Linked DNA regions of Macaca mulatta. The protein of the gene in region 3 binds, or shares a complex with, the protein of the main gene of each other region. Links are inferred from orthologs where the notes say so. Each region holds a gene or a part of one and is shown on either strand. Other genes may lie near its edges.

Region 1 (3,948 bases), on a different chromosome or scaffold from region 3:
GGGATTGCAATAGCTTTTAAATTTTTTCTTTCTCTCTCTCTCTTTCTTTCGTTCTTTCTTAGTGTTGCTCTGTTGCCAGGCTGGAGTGCAGTGGCGCGATCTCAGCTCACCGCAGCCTCCGCCCCCCGGGTTCAAGCGATTTTCCTGCCTCAGCCTCCTGAGTACCGGCTAATTTTTTGTATTTTTAGTAGAGTCGAGGTTTCGCCGTGTTAGCAAGGATGGTCTCAATCTCCTGACCCCATGATCTGCCCGCCTCCGCCTTCCAAAGTGCTGGGATTACAGGCGTAAACCACTGCGCCCAGCCTAAATTTCATTATTTTCTGTAGCTTCCTGGCCTTTCGACTAAGGCTCATGTAAATTTTTTGTTATTTCTACACCAATTTCTGTAGATTATTATGAGAATTAAGGGAGATAATTATATAAAGGGCTTAACACAGTGTCTGGCATTTAGGAAGAAAGCAGTAAGTGGTAGCTATTATTTATTATTATTTTTTGTGATGGAGTTTCGCTTTTGTTGCCCAGGCTGGAGTGCAGTGGCCTCCCAGGTTCAAGCAATTCAGAGAGTTGCTGGCCGGGCACAGTGGCTCACGCCTGTAATTCCAGCACTTTTGGAGGCCGAGGTGGGTGGATCACCTAAGGTTGGGAGTTTGAGACTAGCCTGACCAACATGGAGAAACCCCATCTCTACTAAAAACACAAAATTGGCCGGGCGCTGTGACTCACGCCTGTAATTCCAGCACTTTGGGAGGCTGAGGAGGGCGGATCACAAGGTCAGGATATCAAGACCAGCCTGGCTAACCCGGTGAAACCCCGTCACTACTAAAAATACAAAAAATTAGCCGGGCGCGGTGGTGGGCGCCTGTAGTCCCAACTACTGGGGAGGCTGAGGCAGGAGAATGGCCCGAACCCGGGAGGCGGAGCTTGCAGTGAGCCGAGATCGCGCCACTGCACTCCAGCCTGGGAGACGGAGCCAGATCCGTCTCAAAACAAAAAAAAGAGAGTTGTGGTTTGATGGCCGGTGGGGGGGCGGGGCGGTGGTGAGGGGCGGGGCTTAGTGGTTCACGCCCACGGCTACAAGGCCCAATCAGACCCGTGGAGCAGGTGGAGTTCCGCCCTCGCGGAGGAGGTGGAGTTCCGCTCTCAACGTCGCAGCAGGCGCGGAACTGGGGTTGCGGCGGCTAAGTGTGTTTCCGGTAGATTCCCAGGGGCGGTCGGAGGTGTGGACTGTTCCTGCCTTCATGCTCTGGGAAGATGTTCTACCATGTGAGCAGGGCCCAGGGTGGCGGCAAGGGCTGGGTGGAAAGGAGGAGCAAGGCCAGGCGCCGGCGCGAGGCTCCCCTTGTCGTCTGATAAGCTCCCAGCGCGTGGCCTGGTCGCCATCCCTCTTTTCTCCGCAGATCTCCCTAGAGCACGAAATCCTGCTGCACCCGCGCTACTTCGGCCCCAACTTGCTCAACACGGTGAAGCAGAAGCTCTTCACCGAAGTGGAGGGGACCTGCACAGGGAAGTGAGTGCCGAGCTCACCGCGCCGCCAGATCGTTCGATGCGCACACGGGTCGCTATACCTGCAAACCATCCGCAACTCCTATTAGTCCTGCCACCCACTCTAGGGACCCCGCTCACCCTCTCAGGCAGCCAGTTGCTTCCTGCTTTGGGTTCCCAGGGCGCCCTCTGCAATGCTGGACAATAAGACTTCCTTCCCTCAGCTGAGATTGGTCATTCATTCATTTACTCCTCAGACATTTTAAAAACACTTGGTGTGTGCCAGGACCCGTGTTGGGCTCAGAACAAGGTAGAATGGGAACAAGATAGAATGAGGCCAGCTCTTGTGGAGCTCACAGTGTAGTCATTGTTCCTGTGTCTCCTCTCACTCTGTCATTCTGCTGGTTTTCTCTTATCCCCTGTGTCCAGGGACCACACACCGTGGGCCTCTATATATCTTCTGAATGGATGACCAGAAAAAGTGGATCGAAAGTTTGGGGGAGGAAGGAAGTAGACTGGGACTTGACCATCTCTGGGCTTTGCACTGAGGGCCTTCTGTGATATTAATGAGCTGGGACCCAGCCCAGGGCAGTGGAGTACTTGGGCCTCCAGCATCAGAAAAACCTGCAGGAACATGCAGATTCCTGAGCCTCCTTATTCCCTACAGAATCAAGACTCTGTGAGGCAGACCTGAGAATCTGCATTTTAAGAAGATGATTCTCAGGCATCCCGAAGATTGAGATCTGTTTCCTCAAGGACTCCAGCCTTCTTGTACATTTACTGTGAAATTACCAGAACAGCATTTGGTCTTATACATACTGATCTGTGTTCTTTTTTTTTTTTTTTTTTTTATGAGACGGAGTCTCGCTCTGTCGCCCAGGCTGGAGTGCAGTGGCCTGATCTCAGCTCACCGCAAGCTCCGCCTCCCGGGTTCAGGCCATTCTCCTGCCTCAGCCTCCCGAGTAGCTGGGACTACAGGCGCCCGCCACCTCGCCTGGCTAGTTTTTTGTATTTTTTAGTAGAGACGGGGTTTCACCGGGTTAGCCAGGATGGTCTCGATCTCCTGACCTCGTGATCCGCCCGTCTCGGCCTCCCAAAGTGCTGGGATTACAGGCTTGAGCCACCGCGCCCGGCCCATACTGATCTGTGTTCTGTCTTCTCTTGGTCATTAAGCTCTCTGGGAGCAGAGGTGCTATCTACTTGTCCTTTTGCTCTCCCCGACACTACTCCCAAGAGCTCAGTGACTTTTATTGCAGATGTCTCTAGAGGCTCTTGGACACACAATGTCTTTCTGTTTCTCATCCTCCTTGCAGGTATGGCTTTGTAATTGCTGTCACCACCATTGACAATATTGGTGCTGGTGTGATCCAGCCAGGCCGAGGCTTTGTCCTTTATCCAGTTAAGTACAAGGCCATTGTTTTCCGGCCCTTTAAAGGGGAGGTCGTGGATGCTGTTGTAACTCAGGTCAACAAGGTGAGACCATACGTAGGGGAGGCATTGGGGTAGTCTCTCAGTAGATCTGGGTTGGGTCCTGGCTCCACTTCATAACTGTGCCTTCAGCTAAGTCACTTTACTTCTTTTTTTTTTTTTTGAGATGGAGTGTTGCTCTGTCGCCCAGGCTGGAGTGCAGTGGTGCCATCTTGGCTCACTGAAACCTCTGCCTTCTGGGTTCCAGTGAGTCTCTTGCCTCGGCCTCCCAAGTAGTTGGGACTAAAGGCAGGTGCCACCATGGCCGGCTAAGTTTTTGTATTTTTTTTAGTAGAGATAGGGTTTTGCCATGTTGCCCAGGCTGATCTCGAACTCCTGAGCTCAATCTGCCTACCTCGGCCTCCCAAAGCGCTAGGATTACAGGTGTGAGCTACCACGCCTGGCCATCACTTTACTTCTTGTGCTGCACTTTCAAATTGTATGGTAATCTTCCCTGCCCAACTCAGAGGGCAAGAGTCAACATTAATAGTCATAACAATAAAAGCCTGTGTTGATTGAGTAGTGACTGTGGGCCAGGTGAAGTGCAGAGACTCACAATGACTAAAAGGTGGGTGCTTTCCTTTTTTTTTTTTTTTTTTTAAGATGGAGTTTAGCTCTGTCGCCAGACTGGAGTGCAGTGGCACAATCTTGGCTCACTACAACCTCCGCCTCTGGGTTCAAGTGATTCTCCTGCCTCAGCCTCCCAGGTAGCTGGGACTATAGGCATGCGCCACCACGCTCAGCTAATTTTTGTATTTTTAGTAGAGATGAGGTTTCTCCATGTTGGTCAGGCTGGTCTCAAACTCCCGACCTCAGGTGATCTGCCTGCCTCAGCCACCGAAAGTGCTGGGATTGTAGGCGTGAGCCACTGCCCCCGGCCAGTGGGTGCTTTTTACAGAAGCTGAAGCTTAGAAGAAGTTAAGTGTATTGGCCAAGATCATGTGGCCAACAGGTGTTCAAATCTTGGACTAACAGGCCTAAGCTCTTTAATACTTTAAA
Region 2 (4,018 bases), on a different chromosome or scaffold from region 3:
AAATTTCCTCAATTTTGTGCAAGGCTCTGATGTGTGATTCAATACATTACTTGCCCTTCTTAACAATACCTTACTGTTTGTTTCTCTTCAGCGAATGTTCTTTCACCCAAAGCCTGCTGAAACCTGACAATGTGTCAAACACTGTGCTATACATTGTGGATATAACATGAATAAAGCACCATTTTTTATTTGTAAATTATACCTCAATAAAGCTCTTTCTGCCTAGGAGGAGTTCGTTGTCTGGAAAGCAAAGGCAGATATGTAAACATATGTATTATAGTGCAGAGTGCTAAGTATCACACTGTGATGTGAAGAAAAACTAATTTCTTCTGGGGAAGTTGATAAAAGATCTCATAAGAAGTGACATTTCCATTGGTCTTGAACCATAAGTAGGAGTTTGCCAACCAGAGGAAAGAGTGGGAGTGAGGGCAGGGGTAAAAGAGGGCTTCCAAGGAAGGGAATCCAGTGTGCAGAGGCTCTGAAATGACCGAGGAAGATTCTGACGTGTTCCGGGAAGTCTGCTGGGTTTGGTGCGGTTCGGTGCATGGTGGAGTAATGGTGGGAGGGGAAAACGGATGAAATTAAGAGGGCCCAGTTGAAGCAGGAGGATTGAATTTTATTCTAGAGGCAAGAAGAGAAAGAGAAAACTTTAAGCAGGGGAGGAAACGATCAGTTTTGTCTCTTACTTGTTCGTTTCGTCACAGACCTTCGGGTTTTGGAATATGAGGTGCTCTGCTTGCTTAATCAGAGGAGCTCGGGCAGCCTCTGAGCTGAAACACGGCTTTCTTTTCAGGTCTAGAAACGGCATGTTTTCAATATACCCAGGGCTACCAAGTCTGATCCCAGTGCCCACTTGTGCTAATGACGTTGGCCAGGGGGGATGCCAATTTACTAACCTAAGCCTGTCCTTCAAATATTCTTTCTCTCTCTTTGGCTAGGGTTGGACACGTTCTGACAACTTTTGTCTCTTTGAACCCCGTTTTTCCGTTCTGATAATCTTTTTCTTCAGTTATGCTGGCCATGTCTTTAAATACGTTGCTAACGTTTTGGCTCATCTTACCCTATGTTTTAATCCCTCAGATACACACTACGCTGACAGCCACGCCCACCCAAGGAATTTCCGAAACAGAAAGTTTGTCTGCAACAGCGCGCCGTACGAACGTACAGTGCGCAGGCGCAGTCTGGCTACCGGCGGCGTGTTCCTCTTTCCCCCCGGTTTCCAGTGTCCTGGCAGGTAAGGAACGCCGCCTCTTCACCTCTCAGCGCGGCTTGCCCTTTGTTCCGGACGCCCACTTCTCAGCCCTCCGGCTCCTGGTGTCGCTGCTGTAGGCCACACGCGTCCACCGGCAACAGACCCATGGCCGAGCGCGGGGAACTCGACCTGACCGGCGCCAAACAGAACACAGGAGTGTGGCTAGTCAAGGTAATGTTCACGAGTCTCCCACTTGCGCTCCTCCTAACACAAGTATAATTTAAGTAACTTGAGCCCATCCCGCTCCGTGCACCTCTTAAAGTTCTTTTACGGCTATCTCGTTAGAGCTTCACATATTTTGAGAGGCAGGAGTCATTGTTGTATCTGTTTGCAGATGAGGAGATTAGTTTAGGGACGCAAAGTGTCTTTCAGCCGGTTACTGGTCTGAATCAGCCTGGACTAGATCTCTTTCTCACGGCTTTCCTGGAGCCCTGTCTTGGTGTTCCTAGACTTGGGCGGTGCATTTTATCCCAGACCGAAGAATTACTTGTATCTTTCCCTTGGTGAAACTGGTTTTAGCCATGAGCCTGTGTGAGGTAGTTGAATGTCTGCTTTCTGTACAGTTTTTTCGGCGAGAAACTAGAACTGGTCCCTGCGTACTCTTATTCTCTTAGGTAAATGGTCCTTAATGAAGCTCTCAAAAGAGGCGAGAGAGCCCTGAACAAACAGAAGGAGAGGTCAGGAGAGGTCATTGGACTGGAGTATTCTTTCAGAGCACATTTGGGTCTGATGAAACTGGCCGTCAATAAATGTTTTATGTAAAGACAGCAATTTTGGTTGGCTCACAGCGGGCACTATTTGTGCTTTACTGTTTCATGTTGGGAAGTGTTTTCTCCTAGGGGAGTTTCATAATACTTAAGCAAATTCAAAATGTGATCCTGAAAGTCGTTGAGACTTAAAATGTAAGGACTTTCGGTTTCTTAATGCTTTAACTGATTTATCATATGGCTGAGTTCTCGTCAATTAAATCTAAGAGGTCTTTCTTGTCGGCCTTCTTAAAAATGGCTCCCTTATGATCATTTGCTAACACGACAGATCCGTATTACATTCTTTCTTTTCTTTTTTTCTTTTTTTTTTTTTTTGAATCAGAGTCTTGCTCTGTCGCCCAATCTGGAGTGCAGTAGTGCGATCTTGGCTCACTGCAAGCTCCGCCTCCCAGGTTCACGCCATTCTCCTCTCTCAGCCTCCCGAATAACTGGGACTACAGGCACTCGCCCCCACGCCCGGCTAATTTTTTGTATTTTTAGTAGAGACAGGGTTTCACCGTGTTAGCCAGGATGGTCTCGATCTCCTGACCTCGTGATCCGCCCGCCTTGGCCTCCCAAAGTGCTGGGATTACAGGCGTGAGCCACCGCACCTGGCCGTTACATTCTTCAAAGCACTTTTCACAGTGTAGAGTGATTTTGTGTTAATATGTTCAAAGTTGGTTACCTCCGTCTTTCCAACACACAAAATCACATTCCATGAGATTGGATCTTTGCCTGTCATACCCAGAATAGTGTTTGGCACATGGTAATTACTCAACAAAAAGGTGATGAATAAATGCATGACCTCTCATTCTTTAACCCTCGCCTTAATCTGTGGCACTGATTTGACTTATTTCCAAGCTCAGTGTGACTTAAAAGGATGAATTAAATAGGCATTTCTCTCTCCAGCAGCGTGTTAATTGGAGGAGAGTCACTAAGGAGGAGATGGCCCTTGCAGACTGAAGGAAAAAGCTTGAAAAAATGGTGTGACTTGAGATGGTGCCATTGTTCTAGGAGCATGGTAAATGCTCAGTGTTTACGCCTTACAGGATTTGGGTGGGTGGACATAGCATATACCATGGGGAATGGAACAGAAATGCAAGACTCAAAATACATAATCAGCATGGTGTGTCGTGGAAAACAGAGAGAACCTAGAGCAGAAGATCTGTGTAGATAAAGGTTGGGACCATATACTCAGATTGTCATATCATGAAACGGAGATGTTCTAACTTTAGTTTACAAGGAAGTAACAAACTTTTTGGAGGATTTGAGTGAGGGAGAGATGCCAAATATTTATTCAGAAAAAAAAAAGTTTGGCAGTGTGCAGTACGAATTAGAGGGGAGGGTAAGTAACCAGAGTCACATTTAGAAAATCATCACAGGATTGGGCCGGGCACGGTGGCTCACACCTGTAATCCCAACACTTTGAGAGGCCGAGACAGGTGGATCATGAGGTCAATAGTTTGAGACTAGCCTGGCCAGTATGGTGAAATCCCATCTCTACTAAAAATACCAAAATTAGCCGGTTATGGTGGCATGCGCCTGTATTCCCAGCTACTCAGGAGACTAAGGCAGAAGAATTGCTTGAAACTGGGAGGCGGAGGTTGCAGTGAGCTGAGATTGCTCCGTTGCACTCCAGCCTGGGCAACAGAACAAAAACTCCATCTCAGAAAAAAAAAAAAAAAGAAGTAGTAACTTGTTGCTTAGAAAGTGTGTCTTCATTCTCATCTCATCAGAATTTTATTTGAACTACGTATTGATTTCAAGTTTTTTCTCCTTACATTAATATTTTCTGTTAAAAATAATACCTTGAGTTCTGATCTTTGTTGCTGAAAAATGTTTCTTCCTAGGATATATCAAGGTCATCTTGTACATATTTAATTCCATCACCAGTTACAGAACTGTGTAAATGCAGTAAGGACTGTACATACAAGATCTCTTAGAGTTTTGAGCAGGAAAAAAATTAATGCTTCACCAGAACTGGAAAGACATCATAGAGAAGGTGATGTTTAAGAAGAGC
Region 3 (4,231 bases):
GGCATGAGCCACCACGACCGGCTAATTTTGTATTTTTAGTAGAAACGGAGTTTCTCCATGTCGGTCAGGCTGGTCTCAAACTCCCAACCTCAGGTGATCTACCTGCCTCGGCCTCCCAAAGTGCTAGGATTACAGGCGTGAGCCACCGTGCCCGGCCGTTTACTCGTTCTTGTCTCCTCCATGCCAGACTCGACTCCATGAGGGCAAGGACTATTTCTGCCTCCCTCATTCCTATATTCCTAGGAGTTGGCAGTTCCTGACATTTAGTGGTGGATGAGGAATAAATGAAACCAGACACATCGACAGTGTCTGTAGTTCATGGCCCAATTTTTGTGTCTTGCTCCCCTTCCCTTTGCTTAGCCAACTCCTATGCATCCCTCAGTGCCCAACTGAAACCTCCCCTCTTCTCTGAGCCCTCAGAGCCCACTGTGCTTCTCCTGCTCCTTCCTGGGTTGTAGATTCCCATGTTATGAGTCTGTCTCCCCCACGACACTGTAACCCTCGAGAGGACACTGTAACCCTCGAGAGGACACTGTAACCCTCGAGAGGACACTGTAACCCTCCGTTGGGAGCTGGTTTGACAGATTCACCTTGCGGGGCCCCGAACCCAGGAGGTGCTCGAGTATTTCCGAAGTGGAGCAATGAATGGTTGCGCCGTGAGCATGCGCAGTTGTGTTACTGCCATGACTGGGGCGTGTGTGCATGCCTGGAACGGGGTAGGGGATCCTGCATCTCCCTACTGTTCTCTGCAGCCTCCTTCCCTTCCCCCCAGGAAGCCAGCCAGCCGCCCCCGCGACGTTACCCTTCTCCTGGGGCCTCAGAGCCCTGCCCATCTCGGGCAGCTTGGACTTGCAGAGACCCATCCAGCCAGCAGGCCTTGGGGTGGTCGCTCCCCGACCCCGCCCAGGCTCTGACCCCTCCTGGCTCCGCACAACGTCACAAGGGTCCCCGCCCCGGTCATTTTGCGACAATGACGGGGTCCATTCCTTCGGGGGAGGAAATGAACCCCAAACAGGCCCATGGGGAGCCAAGCAGCGGTTCGACCCAACCGGAGTAGGCCTCGGTTGCTATGGTGACGCGGCCTTCTTGGCCCTCCCCAACCCCGGTCCAGAGCGATATGGCGCATGCGCAAAGTGCCTGGGGGCCCGCAAGGAGGACTCTTCTCCCTCTCCCCACCCAGGATGCCCCGCGGTCCTTGGGTGTGACGTCACGAGGGAGGGCGGCCCCCCATTTGATGAAGTTAACTGTGTTGTATAAAAGAGCGCCAGCGACAGAGGCCGGTTAGTTTATCTCAGACTCGGCCTGGGTTTGCTGAGTCTAAGAAGGGACCGTGGTGGCCCTTTTGAGGTGACCATAGCCGCCGAGGAGCATAAGTGACTGCGCATTGAGGCGGCCACAGTGGCTAAGAAGGTTGCCATCGCGACGCGGCCGCTGGAGGGTTTCGCTTCCGGGTTAAGCGGCCGCAGAAGCGTAGACGGAGTAGCTGCAGCGCCTCTTCCGGTTACCTTTTCCCAGTGCCGGAGGCGCCTGGGGTTGGGGTCTTCGCTCAGGGACAGAGACCCGACAGCGAGCGGCGGCTTGCCCGGGATCGAGGGACGCGCACGCCAGAGGAGACGAAAGGAACCCGGGTCGGACCAGATCGGAACCACTGACCATAGCCCATGGCGGCCCTAGTGAGTGTGGATTTGGCGGGGTTCCGGGGTCCCGACGGCGACCTCGGCAACTCCTCACTCACCGTCCGGTTCCTCTTTCCGCAGGGCCCTAGCAGCCAGAATGTCACTGAATACGTCGTTCGAGTTCCCAAGTAAGTGTCCAGCCCCATCTCCCCCTCCTCTCCACCCTCCAAAAATGAAAACCTTCACGGTCTTCTTAGCCAGGCGTTTCTGGCCCTGTCTGTGATTCTCCCTCCAGACTGGGAGAGACTTGGAGGGCAGGGCTGGGATTAAGCTGAGGCTTCCCTGGAGACAACCCTGCTTTTTTAAACGAATGAATGAATGAGTGCATTAATAACACGGCGATCCAGCCCCCTGGCCTAACCTTCGATCCCATGATGCTCAGGCCAGCTGTAAAGAACATATTCCTCGTCCTGTTTCAAAATGGTCGGGCTATCTTTCCTTTCTAGGCTTTTGTACATCCTGTTCCCTCTGCCATGAGTGCCTCCCCTCAACCCCTAAACTGTGACTCTGCTGGGTGAATTCTTGTTGATTCTACAAAGCTCAGCTCCAGTATCTTCCTCCTCCAGGAAGCCCTCCATGCCTGTCCTCCCTCCTCCCCAAGGCTGAGTTCACAATAATCTCCACATCTTGGGTTCCCTCAAATCTTTGTCCCTCCATCTGCTCTTCTTCTGCCTGGGGTCAAGAGGGGATGGGTCTAGCTTCTCTGGCAGACTGGGAATCCTTGGAGTCTTCTGTATCCAGTGTTGCCAGGCAAAACAGGCTGAATGAATCGAATCGGGGTGGGTTTGTTGAGTGATTGAATTGAATAAATGATTCAATTGAATGGAATGATTGAATTGAATTGATGGTTCAATTGGATTGAGCGATTGAATTAATGATTTGATTGAATTAATGATCCAGTTGGATGGCTGATTGAATTAATGGTTCAATCGCATTAATTCATTAAATTAATGATTGAACTGCTGTATTGGATTGACACCACCTCTTTCTAATCCACTCCAGGAATACAACCAAAAAATATAATATCATGGCTTTTAATGCAGCCGATAAAGTCAACTTTGCTACGTGGAATCAGGTAAGTCCCTGGGTCCTGGGGGTTGGGAGCTGGGGTGGTGGGAGAACATGACCCTGACCTTGGTGATTGTAATAGTTGCTTAACTGTCATAGTAACTAAGTCTTAATTTTCTCACTTTTCTCAAAATGAAGAAAAGATAGATGACAAAGGATTGGGTGCAGTAGTTCACACCCCTGATCTCAGCACTTTAGGAGGCCGAGGCAGGAAGCTTGCTTAAGGCTAGGAGTTCAAAACCAGCCTGGGCAATGTAATAGCAAGACCCCAACTCTACAAAAAAATTAAAAAATTAGCTGGGGCTGGTAGTGTGGGTCTGTAGGCCTACATAGGAGGCTGAGGTAGGAGGATCGCTGGAGCCCAGGGGTTCAAGGCTGCAGTGAGCTATGATTGCATCACTGCACTCCAGCCTGGATAATAGAGCAAGACCCTGTCTCAAAAAAAAAAAAAAAAAAAAAAAGTCCGGGTGCCATGGCTCAAGCCTGTAATCCCAGCACTTTGGGAGGTCGAGGCGGGTGGATCACGAGGTCCGGAGATCGAGACCATCTTGGCTAACATGGTGAAACCCCGTCTTTACTAAAAAAATACAAAAAAGTAGCCGGGCGAGGTGGCGGGCGCCTGTAGTCCCAGCTACTTGGGAGGCTGAGGCAGGAGAATGGCGTGAACCTGGGAGGCGGAGCTTGCAGTGAGCTGAGATCCGGCCACTGCACTCCAGCCTGGGGGACAGGGCGAGACTCCATCTCAAAAAAAAAAAAAAAAGAATGACAAAGGCCCAGGTCAAGCTCCTGGGTGTCCCTGTAAGTTAGGTTTGGTAGGCCCACCGGAGGCCTCTCCTTAAAGGAGAACATTCAGAAGTTGTGCCCACCGATGGGCATTTTTGACCAGGGTTTATCTGGGCAAGGGAGGGGACTGGGCTGGGGGCTTTCCCAGAGCCCCTGCCATCAGAGGCTCTAGAAAGGAGTTTGGGAGCCATTAAAGTGTTTTCAACTGGGAGGTTGTAGTGTGATCTGGCTGTTGTGGGGAGACAGACTGTGGGTTTGAGGGCAGTTAAAGGGAGACCGGGTAGAAGCAACTGGTCTGGTCTAGGTGAGTCCTGGTGGGCACTGGGGGCAGTGGAGGTTATGAGATGTGGCTGATTCTAGAGTGTTTTGGAAATGGTATATATGGACCTTAAATCAAGAGCTTAAGGGTAATTTGGATCATATTAGCCACATAGGTCACGATAAATGGTAACATTTGTAGAGATTTTGGTGCCTTAATGTCAGCAAATGTTGCACAATGAGATTCTTTTTATTTATTTTATTTATTTATTTTTTGTGATGGAGTCTCTTGTTGTCCAGGCTGGAGTGCAATGGCACGACCTGGGCTCACTGCAATCTCCACCTCCCAGGTTCAAGCCATTCTTCTGCCTCAGCCTCCCAAGTACAGGTGCCTGCCACCACGCCCAGCTAATTTTTGTCTTTTTATGAAGTTTCGCCATGTTGGT
Region 4 (3,512 bases), on a different chromosome or scaffold from region 3:
GTCGGTGTGCACACGGACCAGGATCTCCTCCAGGTAGATGAGGTGGTCATCCTCGTCCGTGTCCTCCTCCTCCTCCTCCTCCACACTCTGGTCCAGGGACTCGCCCGCGGTGACGCCTGACAGCTCGCTGTTCTGTGACTCGGTCTCCGCCTCCTTCCTGTCGGCACAGCCATTGCCCAGGCCGCAGAGGCCGTCCCGCTCGCCCTCCTCCTGCCCACCCAGCTCGGGCCCCTTGTCTGGGGCATGCGTGCCGGGCTCGGCCTCTCCGGGGAGACTCAGTGCTGCAGGCCGCCCCGGCTCCAGGGAACTGCCCTGAGCCAGCGCCCCGGCTCCCTCTGGAGCCGGGTTCTCCTCCTCCTTTGGCTTCTGCCGGCTTCTCCCCCCCTCACTTTCGCCGTCAGAGGCGGAGGAGGGAGACTTCGTGCCCTCGGACTCACTGCTGCTCTCGCTGTCGCTGGATAAGTCGAAGTCCAGGTCAGTGCCCGTGGCACCCTGGGCAGGCCGCTGTCCCGGTGCCGCCCGGCCACCCTGCACACAGGATCCTTGGGGCTCAGGAGTGCCTGCCAGCTCTCCACTGCTGGTGGGGGCCTGGGCAGCGGGCCAGGTGTCCCTCTCGTCCGGTTTCCCAGGGCGGGGCGAGTCCTGTGGGGCGGTAGCCTCACTGCCGTTCAGCTCCTGAGCCGGCTTCTCCAGGCCATTGCTGGGCTCCACTCCAGGGGCCTGCGTTCCCCACTCGGGCTCTCTCACGGGCGGAGCTTGCTCTGAGATCTCGGTGCCTCGAGAAGAATGATTTACTAAATATGCATGCAAAAGGAAAAGTTACCGCGATTCAGCATTAAACGTTAAATAACATTCCAAGTTAAAGCAGCGCCCTTCTTCATGGCTGTGAACTCTGCCACCCTCTAGACCAGGCCTTGGCAACCTTGCTGTGAAGAGCCTGACGGGGTGAGCACCCCTTACCCGAAGTGCATGGGGCCACAGATGTTTTGGACACTGAATGTGTTTCTGAGTTTGGAGTATTTGCGTTAAACTTACCACTTGAACATCCCAAATCTGAAAAATCCAAAATGCTCCAATGAGTATTTCCTTTAAGCACCATGTGGGCAACTCAAAAAGCTCTGGATCTGGGGGAGGAAGGATCCTCCGTCTATAAGAACAACTGGAGGTCTCCAGGCTGCAGACCTGGCGCCACCATGGCCACAGTTTCCCAAGCCCCGGTCTGGAGGAAGTCAGCAACTCCACGCTGACCCCAGCCATCTGGTGAAAGCCTCGGCCTCCTACAGGAGGGACCCCAGTCCCACCCTCTTCTGGTTTCAACCTCCAAGTTCCATTTTAGTGACTAGAGCAGCAAATGTACGCCTCAAAATATTTTTTTTTAAAAACTAAGGGTCAAAAACACTTAACTTTTCACAGGGTGGACGTCAGCCGCAGGCCTGCCTGACAGGTTAAACCACGCTGCTCTCTGGGCCCAGCCAGCGCCAGGCCTGAACACTGCACTCTGGGGACGGTTCTTCCCTACACAGCCACTGCCCCCACATTCGCTCTCTCTACAGAATGCCAGGGCCCGAGGCCCAGGCGTGTGTTTAAGGAAAACTGGGATGAAAGGAGTTATTCACATGTTAGGTTAAACAGTATCCTTTAGTTTTTATTCAACTGGGAAAATGCTTAAGTGAGGGCCATTTTTTTTAAAGCCCAAATCAAAACGACATAATATCCTGTTTTCCAGTACTATATACATAAATCCAATAACCTCTATTGAAATACAAATAAAAAATCAAAGTGTATCTTGAATTTAGAGCAGTCAAAATAGAGATAAGAAATAAGAAGAGCTAAACAATAAGCAAATGTAAATTCTAGAGAATCAGGAAGGAGGTTACCCACCTTTCTTTCTCGTCTGAGAGTCTCGGGACCCAGGGGGCGCATTCATATCACCTGTGCCCTGGAAGTACACGTATTTCTTCACAGTTATCAGATTGGGGGCAAACTTCCAGACATCTTCTCGATCATCAATAATGCAAACCATTGAGTCTCCACACGGAAAGAGGTTTCTACAAGTGAAAATGCAAAATTCACACAAAATAATAATGAAAAGAGTTTAAGATTCTAACCCACATGTAACCAACAGACAGCAGGTTCATCAGAAACTGACACCAACCGCCCCGAAGCCCTTTCTGTTTGGGTCACATTTAAACCTCAGTAACATCTTCTCCACAGCTTCTGATTCTCCTTCAAGCCGGAGTTCGCAAACTGTTTCTTAAAGCGCCAGAGTCACTACTTCAGGCATGAAGGGCCACAGGGATGAAACCCAACTCCGACCGCGTGGGCATGGCCATGTTCCAATAAAACTTCCTGTACAAACCAGGCTGTGTAGCCTAAAGGCCAGAATTTGCTGACTCTGAAAACAGCCCGGGATGGGCTGTGTGGCTCAGGCCTGGAATTCCAGCGCTTTGGGAGGGCCGCTTGAGCCTCAGAGCCTGAGACCAGCCTGAGCAACACGGTAAGACCCCGTCTCTACAAAAAATACAGAAGTTAGCCGGGTGTGGTGGTGTGCACCTGTAGTCCCAGCTACTCAGAAGGCTGAAGTGGGAGGATAGCTTGAGCCCAGGAAGTCAAGGCTGTGGGGAGCTGAGACCACACTACTGCACTTAGGTCTGGGCAACAGAGTTAGACCATCTCAAAAACAAAAAAACAAAAACCAGACCTACTGCCGATGCAGAATTTCTAAGTGGACCTACAGCTACCTCCATGTAAACCACAGTGCCCGCCACTAGGGCCTATCCTGGGTGTGTCCCCATTCGATCCTATCATTCTGCCTTCAGGTGACTTTTCCCCTTAACACGTCACTAACAGCACCTCTCATTCTCTTTAGCCCTGATCAATCTGCTCACTCTGGCGCTAACTAGCAAAAAGGAGGTTTCTGAAGTACTTTCAGAGTCTCTTCTTAGTTAACATCAGCTTGCATAGGCCTCACAGTCTGCGTGGACTCCCTAAATGTAAAAACCGAAGCACTGGGAGGCGGCGGCCACCGTGAGCCAGGAAGCGGCTGAAGCTGAAGCTGCGACCGCCAGGGCTCCTTGGGAGAACAAGCCACACCTGATGCGTTGCAACAGCAGGGACGGACTTCCGGGTGGAAATGGGGAAATTCCTCGTACAGAGTGGGCAAGAAACGCCAAAGAATACAGAAGGATATAAAAAAGTCTCTACGTAGGGGCAGGGAGGGGCCACCCTGTCAAAAAGGCTCAGAGGAGCTGAGAAGAGGAGGCTCTGGAGCTCATGGAAAGGAAGAAATGGCAAAAAGCAAAAAGACGGGCAAAAGTCATGTGATTTAGGATTTTATAAATTATCAGTAGGATTAACACAGGCAAGCTCCTAAGAAAACTATAAACCTCAGATGCTGACGCTGACGTCAAGAACTGCTCCTAAACCAGGAGCCCCACAGAGCTGCTGAACTTGTGTGTGGGGTGGGGTTATCCACATTCCTGTGCCCACTCGGGTCCCTGAGTCTGCCATCA
Region 5 (3,512 bases), about 51 Mb from region 3:
GGAGTCGATGCAGACGTTGTCTGGAGAAGAGGGAGAGAGCCGGCTCAGGCAGGCCTGCAGGGGCCTCCCTCAGAGGGGCTGGCGTCCCTTTGGCCCCTGGCGCTCCCCTCACCAATGTTGTGGGCCTCGTCGAAGACCACGACGGCCTTGCGGGCCAGTTCCTTGGACACCAGGTCTGCAATCTTGGGGTCCAGGAGGTAGTGGTAGCTATAAACCACCACGTTGGCATGCAGGATCTGGGGGGCCAGGGAGCAGGGTCACCAGGGCCCTGTCACCCCAACCCCTACCCCCCTACCCCTGGCCAGGTGGGCGTCCGTCTCCCGGGCGGCGCTGGCCACACTGGCCCATCATTCCCACACAGGCCTGCAGAGGCAGACACCGGCCAGGCAGAAATATGAGCAGATGGATAGAGACAGACCGACAGACATGGGCACCCATCAACAGGGAGATGCAGACAGGCAGACTCACAGCAAGCAACAGACAGGCATGGGCAGACAGGAGACGGGCAGGCAGCCCACAGCCTCACACTCGCCCCTCTGCCCGTCCCACCAGCCTTCTCACTGAGTATCGAGCAAGGAAGTATGGGCACCAGCCCTGGCGCCGCCCCAGGGCCTTCAGGTCATCCAGGTTGTAGATGCCAGCGGGGAGGGGCACCTCGCGCCCATGGGCATCAAATTCCTGGGACAAGAGTGCCAGGGGTCAGGGAGGCTGCCTGCCCCAGGCCACCCATCCAGCCTCCCTCCCTCAGCCCTGCCCTCCAGGCACCTCATAGAAGCGACAGTGGGGCAGGCTGGTGTCATGCTGGTACTGCGCCCGCACATAGGAGGCTGTGAGGCTGTGGCATTTCCCATCGACATCCTTCCCAAAGCGCAGGGGTGTCACCTGGGGGTGTGGGGCATCTTAGCACCCAGACAGGGTGGAAACCCAACCACTCTTCAAACGCAGGTCTCCACACCTCCCAGTTGGCTGGGGTTTTGGACAACTTGAACCTCAGTCTGTTGCACTATTAGTTAAGACACATGGGAACTTAATGCAGGGATATAAGAGTAGTAAAACTGGACTGGGTGTGGTGGCTCACGCCTGTAATCCCAGCACTTGGTGAGGCCGAGGTAGGGAGATCACGAGGTCAGGAGTTCGAGACCAGCTTGGCCAACATGGTGAAACTCCATCTCTACTAAAAATTAGCCGGGCGCGATGGTTCACGCCTGTAATCCTAGCACTTTGGGAGGTCGAGGTGGGAGGATTACCTGAGGTCAGGAGTTTTAGACCAGCCTGGCCAACATGATGAAACCCTGTCTCCACTAAAAATACATTAGCCAAGCATGGTGGCACGTGCCTGTAATCCCAGCTACTCGGGAGGCCGAGGCAGGAGAATCGCTTGTACCCGGGAGGCGGAGTTTGCACTGAGCCGAGATCACCCCACAGCATTCCAGCCTGGGCGATAGAGCGAGACTCCATCACAAAAAAAAAAATAAAAATAAAAATACAAAAATGAGCCAGGCATGGTGGTGCACACCTGGAATCCCAGCTACTCGGGAGGCTGAGGCAGGAGAATTGCTTGAACCCAGGAGACAGAGGTTGCAGTGAGCCGAGATCATGCCACTGTACTCCACCCTGGGCGACAGAGTAAGACTCCCTCTCAAAAAAAAAAAAGAGAGTAGTAAAATTGTTACATTCTTACAAGTTATACATATATATTTTTGGAGACAGGTCCCTCTGCTACTCAGGCTGGAATGCAGTGGCGCAATCACAGCTTACTACATCCTTGACCTCCCAGACTCAACTGATCCTTCCCCCTTCAGCCTCCCGAGTAGCTGAGGCCACAGGTGTGCACCACCATGCCTGGCTAATTTTTGTCTTTTTAGTCAAGATGAGGTCTTGCTATGTTGCCCAGGCTGGTCTCAAACTCCTGGCCTCAAGCAATCCTCCCACCTCAGCCTCCCAAAGTGCTGGGATTACAGGCTGAGTCACTGTGCCCAGCCAACCAAAACTAATATTTTAAAACAGTAAGCCTTGAAAAATCTTTAGCATATAGATTGAGGATAATTACTTCATCCTTGGAAATGCCAAAACACATGGAACTCTGGCAGGGCCTAAGAATCAAAGGAGGTGCTGCAGAGTCTGGGACTCCCCTCACCCCTGACCTGCTCTGTACCCTCTAAGGTACCATCACAGCCTAAGGCTATCTTTCCCAAGAACAAATCCTTCTCCTACACCAAAGGGAAAGCTCCAAGGCAGCCAGCCCTTCCCTCTCCATTTCCCCTTTCATCAGTCACCGAGGCCTGTGCTCTTTGTCATCCACTAGATATATTATTTCTCATATATTCTTACAAATAATGTGATGCATAGTCTGTGGGCCCAGTGTGGGAGTTTGAGATCAGCCTGGCCAACATGATGAAACCCATCTCTATTAAAAATACAAAAAACTAGCTGGGCGTGGTGGAGTGCGCCTGTAATCCCAGCTACTCAGGAAGCTGAGGCAGAAGAATCGCTTGTACCTGAGAGGTGGAGGTTGTGGTGAACCGAGATCACGCCACTGCACTCTAGCCTGGGCAACAAGAGTGAAACTCCATCTCAAAAAAAATAACTAAGGCTGGGCACGATGGCTCATGCCTGCAATCCCAGCACTTTGGGAGGCCAAGGTGGGCGGATCACGAGATCAGGAGTTAGAGACCAGCCTGACCAACATGGTGAAACATCAGCCTTCCAAAGTGCTGGGATTATAGGCGTGAGCCACCATGCCCAGCCAAGTACAATGGTTTTATAGCATAATTTAATAACAATTAACATTGTATTTGTCATATATTATGTATATAAATATCATGACAATTTTTTTTTTTTTTTTAAGACAGTCTCACTCTGTCCCCCAGGCTGGAGTGCAGTAGTGTGACCTCAGCTCACTGCAACCTCTGCCTCCCGTGTACAAGCGACTGGGATTACCGACATGTACGCCACCACCCCTGGCTAATTTCTGTATTTTTAGTAGAAATGGGGTTTTGCGCCGGGCGCGGTGGCTCATGCCTGTAATCCCAGCACTTTGGGAGGCCGAGACGGGTGGATCACGAGGTCAGGAGATCGAGACCATCCTGGCTAACACGGTGAAACCCCGTCTCTACTAAAAAATACAAAAAAAAAAACTAGCCGGGCGTGGTGGCGGGCGCGTATAGTCCCAGCTACTCGGGAGGCTGAGGCAGGAGAATGGCGTGAACCCGGGAGGCGGAGCTTGCAGTGAGCTGAGATCCAGCCACTGCACTCCAGCCTGGGCGACAGAGCGAGACTCTGTCTCAAAAAAAAAAAAAAAAAAAAAAAAAAGAAATGGGGTTTTGCCGTGTTGGCCAGGATGGTCTCGAACTCCTGACCTCAAATGATCTGCCCACCTCAGACTCCCAAAGTGCTGGGACTATAGATGTGAACCACCGCACCCGGCCTACCATGAGAAATTTTTTTTTTTTTTTTTTTTTTTTTGAGACAGAGTCTCGCTCCGTTGCCCAGGCTGGAGTGCAGTGGTGTGA

The links.
Region 1: GTF2F1 (region 3) and POLR2G share a complex: the UniProt entries of both Homo sapiens proteins name them as parts of the TBP-based Pol II pre-initiation complex. The link is inferred for Macaca mulatta from reciprocal best matches to the Homo sapiens genes GTF2F1 and POLR2G.
Region 2: GTF2F1 (region 3) and GTF2F2 share a complex: the UniProt entries of both Homo sapiens proteins name them as parts of the TBP-based Pol II pre-initiation complex. The link is inferred for Macaca mulatta from reciprocal best matches to the Homo sapiens genes GTF2F1 and GTF2F2.
Region 4: the proteins of GTF2F1 (region 3) and CTDP1 are in contact, whole or in part, in an NMR structure (PDB 1ONV), measured with the Homo sapiens proteins. The link is inferred for Macaca mulatta from reciprocal best matches to the Homo sapiens genes GTF2F1 and CTDP1. Residues at the interface, in NP_002087.2 of Homo sapiens: Thr470, Lys471, Leu474, Gln478, Ser486, Thr489, Val490, Leu493, Ala494, Leu497, Lys498, Leu500, Asn501, Pro502, Arg504, Met511, Phe513; in NP_004706.3 of Homo sapiens: Ala946, Asp947, Met949, Ala950, Lys951, Ala952, Leu953, Glu954, Glu956, Leu957, Asp959, Leu960, Met961.
Region 5: GTF2F1 (region 3) and ERCC2 share a complex: the UniProt entries of both Homo sapiens proteins name them as parts of the TBP-based Pol II pre-initiation complex. The link is inferred for Macaca mulatta from reciprocal best matches to the Homo sapiens genes GTF2F1 and ERCC2.

What each region holds. Positions count from the first base shown.
Region 1 is NC_133419.1:11,297,809-11,301,756, reverse strand, and holds the start of POLR2G (DNA-directed RNA polymerase II subunit RPB7), read left to right. Parts: upstream 1-1,147; 5' UTR 1,148-1,238; coding exon of another isoform or gene 1,239-1,251; coding exon 1,252-1,263; coding exon of another isoform or gene 1,264-1,397; coding exon 1,398-1,507; intron 1,508-2,795; coding exon 2,796-2,955; intron 2,956-3,948. UniProt on the Homo sapiens protein: Core component of RNA polymerase II (Pol II), a DNA-dependent RNA polymerase which synthesizes mRNA precursors and many functional non-coding RNAs using the four ribonucleoside triphosphates as substrates.
Region 2 is NC_133422.1:24,430,846-24,434,863, forward strand, and holds the start of GTF2F2 (general transcription factor IIF subunit 2), read left to right. Parts: upstream 1-1,210; 5' UTR 1,211-1,357; coding exon 1,358-1,423; intron 1,424-4,018. UniProt on the Homo sapiens protein: TFIIF is a general transcription initiation factor that binds to RNA polymerase II and helps to recruit it to the initiation complex in collaboration with TFIIB.
Region 3 is NC_133424.1:7,269,503-7,273,733, reverse strand, and holds the start of GTF2F1 (general transcription factor IIF subunit 1), read left to right. Parts: upstream 1-1,419; 5' UTR 1,420-1,661; coding exon 1,662-1,673; exon of another isoform or gene 1,674-1,738; intron 1,739-1,757; coding exon 1,758-1,804; intron 1,805-2,678; coding exon 2,679-2,751; intron 2,752-4,231. Other genes in the region: adenylate kinase isoenzyme 1, read right to left, coding at 803-986, 1,353-1,418. UniProt on the Homo sapiens protein: TFIIF is a general transcription initiation factor that binds to RNA polymerase II and helps to recruit it to the initiation complex in collaboration with TFIIB. It promotes transcription elongation.
Region 4 is NC_133423.1:1,268,914-1,272,425, forward strand, and holds part of CTDP1 (RNA polymerase II subunit A C-terminal domain phosphatase), read right to left. Parts: intron 2,049-3,512; coding exon 1,882-2,048; intron 795-1,881; coding exon 1-794. UniProt on the Homo sapiens protein: Processively dephosphorylates 'Ser-2' and 'Ser-5' of the heptad repeats YSPTSPS in the C-terminal domain of the largest RNA polymerase II subunit. This promotes the activity of RNA polymerase II.
Region 5 is NC_133424.1:57,886,739-57,890,250, forward strand, and holds part of ERCC2 (general transcription and DNA repair factor IIH helicase subunit XPD), read right to left. Parts: intron 883-3,512; coding exon 766-882; intron 679-765; coding exon 562-678; intron 237-561; coding exon 113-236; intron 21-112; coding exon 1-20. UniProt on the Homo sapiens protein: ATP-dependent 5'-3' DNA helicase. Component of the general transcription and DNA repair factor IIH (TFIIH) core complex, not absolutely essential for minimal transcription in vitro.